Linked DNA regions of Ovis aries. The protein of the gene in region 1 purifies or fractionates together with the protein of each later gene. This does not show direct contact. Links are inferred from orthologs where the notes say so. Each region holds a gene or a part of one and is shown in the gene's direction. Other genes may lie near its edges.

Evidence for each region.
Region 2: the proteins of LLGL1 (region 1) and PARD6B purify together in Homo sapiens (affinity purification with mass spectrometry; 5 studies listed by BioGRID and IntAct, counting the BioPlex papers as one, with this or other methods). This does not show direct contact. The link is inferred for Ovis aries from reciprocal best matches to the Homo sapiens genes LLGL1 and PARD6B.

The regions. Positions count from the first base shown.
Region 1 is NC_056064.1:34,146,683-34,149,361, reverse strand, and holds the end of LLGL1 (lethal(2) giant larvae protein homolog 1), read left to right. Parts: intron 1-79; coding exon 80-540; intron 541-743; coding exon 744-853; intron 854-1,044; coding exon 1,045-1,165; intron 1,166-1,310; coding exon 1,311-1,389; 3' UTR 1,390-1,397; intron 1,398-1,600; 3' UTR 1,601-2,161; downstream 2,162-2,679. Other genes in the region: FLII (protein flightless-1 homolog), read right to left, coding at 2,339-2,473, 2,559-2,624. UniProt on the Homo sapiens protein: Cortical cytoskeleton protein found in a complex involved in maintaining cell polarity and epithelial integrity. Involved in the regulation of mitotic spindle orientation, proliferation, differentiation and tissue organization of neuroepithelial cells.
Region 2 is NC_056066.1:78,710,569-78,714,088, forward strand, and holds part of PARD6B (partitioning defective 6 homolog beta), read left to right. Parts: intron 1-1,916; coding exon 1,917-2,139; intron 2,140-3,520. UniProt on the Homo sapiens protein: Adapter protein involved in asymmetrical cell division and cell polarization processes. Probably involved in formation of epithelial tight junctions.

The DNA.
Region 1 (2,679 bases):
GGGGCCAGGCTAGACTGGGGATACTGGGGTGTGTACTGGCCCGGGCTCTGCTTAGTACCCACTCCCCACCCACCTCCAGGTGTTCACGCTACCCAAGGTGAGCGCCAAGACCAAGTTCAAGCTGACAGCCCATGAGGGCTGCCGCGTGCGCAAAGTGGCCCTGGCTACCTTTGCCAGTGTGGCCTGCGAGGACTACACGGAGACCTGCCTGGCCTGCCTCACTAACCTGGGTGACGTGCACGTGTTCTCTGTGCCGGGCCTGCGGCCCCAGGTGCACTATGCCTGCATCCGCAAAGAGGACATCAGCGGCATCGCCTCCTGCGTGTTCACACGGCATGGCCAGGGTGAGGCGGGCAGGCGGCTACAGTCAGGGCTTCCGGGAGGCAGGGACATGGCCCTTTACTGTGCTTCCTGCCCCCTCCTAGGGTTTTACCTGATTTCTCCCTCGGAGTTTGAGCGCTTCTCCTTGAGTGCCCGGAACATCACCGAGCCACTCTGCTCTCTGGACGTCCGTTGGCCCCGTGATGCCACCTGTGTCAGGTGCATGAAGGGGTAGCCCCTGGCCGGGGGTTGCAGCGCTGGGATCAAGGCTGGGCTCATTCCATCCCCCAATTGAGCAAGCAGCAGGGTGGCCCTCCCCGGTCATCCCTCTGGCCCCAGGGCTCAGGAATGGGAGGGCGGGGGTCTGGTTCTCAGGCCATGAGATGCCTGCCTAGGGTCTGCAGCACAGCCCATCTCTGCAGCCACAGGTCCCGAGAGTCGCCCAAGCTGAGCCAGGCTAACGGGACCCCGGGCATCATCCTGGCCCCACAGAGCCGTGATGGAAGCCCCGATCCCATCTGCAAGGAGGCTGGTGAGGAGGCCGCGCGTTAGCTGGGCAGCTTGTCTCATGGCGGTGGGGGTGCTCTGCAGGAGGCAGCTCTCCAGAGGGTCCAGGGAGGGGTGGGTTGGTGCCATGGTCCACTGTGGGCTGGTTTGGGGCCAGGTCAAGTGTGGACGGGGCCTTGGAGCCCTAGAAGGACCCTGTTCACTTCCTCCCTGCAGACACCCTAGAGCCACCTGAGGCCATGCTCTCACCTATGTCCATTGACTCGGCCACCAGTGCCGACACCACACTGGACACAACGGGGGACATGACGGTGGAGGACGTAAAGGATTTCCTGGGGTGAGGAGCTGGCTGGGTCCACAGGAGGGGCTGGTCGCTCCCAACTTCCCTCCCCAACCCTTCAGCCAACCTCATACCCCAGCTGGGCATGAAGGACCGAGGAGGGCCTGACCCCAGATCTGCTGACCGCTGCCCCTCCCTGCAGCTCCTCAGAGGAATCTGAGAAGAACCTGCGGAACCTGTCAGAAGAGGAGGCTCGAGCCTGTGCCATCCTGATCAAATGAGGCTGCAGGTGCGTGGCCTGGTCCTGAGTCAGTACCTCCCCAGCCTCTCCCGACACAGACCCTGTGGCTCCCTCTGTGCCGGGGTCACTGCTGCCCCCTCCCTTGCCTCGGGGTTCAGGCAGTTGGAGACTGGTGGTGGGACACGTGTGGCCAGGCTGCCTGCCCCGTTGGATCTCCCTGGTCTTCTGCTGATCTTGTTTCTCTCTGCTAGGGAGGCCAGAACTGCCGGGTCACCCTGCCCTGCTCGGAGCTGGAGCCAGGGGCCTGGTTCTCCATGCAGACCTGCACCTGCTAACTTCGGGGTTCTGTGGGGCTTGCCAGCCTGGCCCTGAGCCTCAGGACTCCACCAGGCCCTGCCTGCAGGCAGAGGCCACCCGGAAGGTCAGGCGCCACAGGGGAGGCCGCAGGGCTCACGGCTACCACCTCCCAGGCCATGTGCCGTCCCCCCTTCTCCTTTTACAAAGAGTATTTTTCTAACGCCTGTGCCGGGCACCACAGTCATTTCTAAAACTATTTTGGTACTTGCTCCTGGGCCAGCACCCCCTCGACCCCCCTGCTGCGTGCAAGTATGTGTGTGAGAGCTCCACTTGGGAACCAGGACCGAGGCCTGGCCTTGTGTGCGCGCGTGTGTGTGTGGTGGGGGGTCAGGATGGGTCTCCCGTACATTGTACTTTGGGGGGCTTTTTTTCTGTCATTTTTGTTAAATTAGCATTTTAAAATTAAAAATACTGATTTTTAATATTGAAAATAAAAGCATTTAATATCTCTTAAAGGGCAGCCACACCTGCTTTATCCCTGGCAGAAGAGGGGAAGTCACACGTGAGCTCAGAGTGGAGGGAGATTGCCTTGCCAGACCCCTGGAGACACTGGTTAGGGTCACCCCACTGGTGGCGCTGGGGACGGTGGCACTGGGGCACTTATCCCTCCATAGAGGTGGAGTGCGGTGGCCTTAGGCCAGGGCCTGGCGGAAGGTGCTCCAGGCGTGGAAACAGCGGGTGAAGGCGTGCTGCTCATTGCCCTTGCGCACGAGGCGCAGGCGGCGGGGCCGCTCGTGCTCCTTGGAGCGCATGTGCTGGATGTACACCTGGGGGGGTGGGCAGGGGGTTGGTGAGGGCAGCCCCAGCCTCGGCCCCTCCGCCAGGCCCAGCCTCGGCTCCTCCCCTGCTCACCTGGCAGGCCTTCAGGCTCAGCTTGATCTCCACCTGGCTGGTCTGGGATCCCACCCACATGTAGACCTGTGGGGACAGCAGGGTACGTGGTCTCCTAGCCTCAGAATGCCTCTTTACGGAC
Region 2 (3,520 bases), on another chromosome or scaffold:
GCCCTAAAATATTCAATTATTAGCTGTTACTCCCGTTCACCAGGGGAAGTAATAAAACCTGGGGATGAATCAGAATGCACTGGGATGTTGCGATACCAGAATAAAGAAAATGGAGGAGAAACTATGACTTTTGATAACATCATAAGACTGACTCTGATATGAAGGGTGTTCCTCAGTTTTTATTTACTTTGAAACGTGAAGGTGTGACTAAACTTTTTGAGTGCTTTAGGTGTGAGTCACCTTATTTTCTTGACAAATGTTAGTGTTTACGTTTGAGGAATGTGTTTCGGAAACTTTTAATTTATTAGAAGTAAGAGGTGGTTTCAGTGAGTTTTCATTTTAATTGAAAACTAGCAAATAGTGTGGGTATAAGCGAGGCAGATACACTTGCCATAACAAAAGCGGTGAATCCAGGGAGCCCACGGGACCCTTGGGGACGTGAACGGACACATTTGTAACCAAATAATTCCAGTAGGGACTTTGCCTGCATGATGTTTAAGGCCTTGTTGGTAGTACAGCTAGTGTTACTGTCCAATAATAGATACTTAGAGGAAAAAGGAATTCAGTGGTCAAATGCATTTGGCACACAGTTTGTTTTGAAAATTTTTTCTGTTTTAATCAACGCCAGGGCTTTACCTCGCCTTTAATAACTGGTCTCCCCAGTGATTCCCAAGAGCATGATTATAGTTATATAGCATTTCCCAAATGTGTGTGACTGGGGCACTTTTTGAGGAAGGCTGATGAATCTTTCTTAGGTTTCCACATTTGAGGAAATGCTGTGCTGGTTCCATAGTAGGTCACAGATCCTGTTTGTTATGGACTGGATGAAGCCAGTCCTTCGTGTCAGATAAGAACCACCGAAATCATGCGGCATTTGGGTTCTAGAGTAGGGAAGCAGATGTGAGTATGAGAATTGTGAGGATAAATACTGGGTATGATGGAAGTGCCGTCCTCCCTGTTTGTGTGGTTCCTTAATACCGCTCATATAATTATTCTCTTTACCCACTAATTGCTGAGCTCGGGTGCAGGCCCGAGCCTTTCATTCTCTAGGGCCTAGCACTGTGCCAAGCACATAAACACTTTTGCATTAATTGGACGGTTGTACGACATATATTTAATGTATTAATAAAAGTGCCCTTTTTTTAAAGATTAACATACGGAAGACACTTCCTGTCTTTAGACTCATTTCTCCTATAATATGCCTCCATTCATATGGCGCCTTGCTGCCAAGAAGTTCAAAGTCCTGCTTGCTTGTGCTGCAGTTAATTCCTGCCACTTCCTATGAAGCTGTTACTCCTTTGATTGGGGAGGAAACCTGGATGCTTTTTGCTGACAGTCAAAATAAAGACTTAGGCTCATCTCTGTTACCCCGTGGCCTGAGTGAGGAGGGAAGACTGTTGTCAGGATCCAGACTCCACACAGGGTTTGTTTGAGCTGAGTCACTCTGCAGGACAGTCCCCAGTGGGGCCTGGGTACCCCGGGGATTAAGTCGAACCTGCATCTCTTGAAGGGGATGCCCTTCAGAGATACAGCAGTGAGCAGGCACATTTCTGTGTCTCCCCTAGGCCGTTTTATCTCCAGATAATGAGGTTTCTAGGGGCTTCCCTGGTGGCTCAACTGGTAACAAATCCGCCTGCAATGCTGGAGACCTGGTTCGATCCTTGGGTTGGGAAGATCCCCTGGAGAAGGGAAAGGCTACCCACTCCCGTATTCTGGCCTGGAGAGTTCCATGGACTGTATAGTCCATGGGGTCGCAAAAGAGTCAGACATGACTGAGCAACTTTCACTTTCAGTGAGGTTTCGACTGTGTGGTTGAAACTGTCTTCTTTATTAAAGGAAACTCGTATCTGTGAATTTTTCTATGTCATGCCTTGTAAGATTGGATCCTGTTTTAAAATTAATATGTTTGTTTGTAGTTTGGAGCTGAATTTCGCCGGTTTTCACTGGAAAGATCAAAACCTGGAAAGTTTGAGGAGTTTTATGGATTACTGCAACATGTTCATAAAATACCCAATGTTGACGTTTTAGTAGGCTATGCAGACATCCATGGCGATTTACTACCTATAAATAATGACGACAATTATCACAAAGCTGTTTCAACGGCCAACCCACTGCTTAGGATCTTTATACAGAAAAAGGGTAAGTACCAACATCCAGAGAAGTTGTTTGAGAATTAGAAGTTGTTAATTTTCCTCATTGATAGGATATACAGAGTTTGCCACAAATTTAAGGAATTAGACATTTTATGTGAATCTTATTAGCAAATTAACAAGTGAGTTAAGACATCTGTGATATTATTGGTTTATTAACATCTTTACACTTAATTAAGTGCACTTTAGAAAGTTGTGATTACTTTGTAAACCTTTAGATTCTTTTTCTTAATGGAAATTAGGAATATATTGAATCTTCGCGTTGAATGTGATTTTGTCCATTCAGAAAGATGTGGTAGGAAGAGTGTGGCTTTGGAGTCAGAGAAACATTCTCGACTTCCCTGGTGGCTCAGAAGGTAAAAGCATCTGCCTACAACTCGGGAGACCTGGGTTCGATCCCTGGGTTGGGAAGATCCTCTGCAGAAGGAAATGGCAGCCCACTCCAGTATTCTTGCCTGGAAAATCCGATGGACAGAGGAGCCTGGCAGGCTGCAGTCCATGGGGTCGCAGAGAGTCGGACACGACTGAGCGACTTACGTATACGTACATAAGGTGACTCTGGTGGTAAAGAACCCGCCTGCCGATGCAACAGACATGAGTTGGATCCCTGGGTCAGGAAGATCCCCTGGAGGAGGAAATGGCAACCCACTCCAGTATTCTTGCCTGGAAAATCCCATGCACAGAGGAGCCTGGAGGGCTGCAATTCATGGGGCCACAAAGAGTCACAACTTTGAAATACTGTGTTTACTACTTACTAGGTACTTGACGGAAAGCTATTTACTTTTCCAGGTTGCAGTGTCTTTATCTACAGGAGGAGCATGCCATCTCATGGCATTGCTGGGGGTTTAACTGAGCTCAGTGCTTCCGGGTTTCAGTGTCTTTATCTACAGGAGGAACGTGCCATCTCATGGCATTGCTGGGGGTTTAACTGAGCTCAGTGCAGAGCCTTGGCGTGTACTAGGCCTCCTCTAACTGTTGGCTTTCCTCTAAGGTGTTTCTCACAGAAAATACAATTAGTTAATTATCTGAAAATTAGTAAGTCATCATTTTGGAGGAATGTAAACATTGATAATTGGTCTTGCAGAAGAAAGTTTTAAATAACCACTGTATATGGCAAGCACTGCAACGTATTTTGACTTTTAAAAGCCCTAAAAAGATTTGTTTTGCCTTTGTGGCCTCTTCCGTGTGTGTCTCTGTGTCTGCCTGTAGATGGGTGCCATGCATGCTTCTGCTTCCTTTGTCTTTGGAAAATGAGGAGGTTTGGAAAGGCAGCATGACAGACTCCAGCCCAGCACTGGTGGGATGATTAAAGCCTGACTGTGCTTGTAAACCAACCCAGCGAGCAGTCAGAGAGTGGGCTGAGATTACCC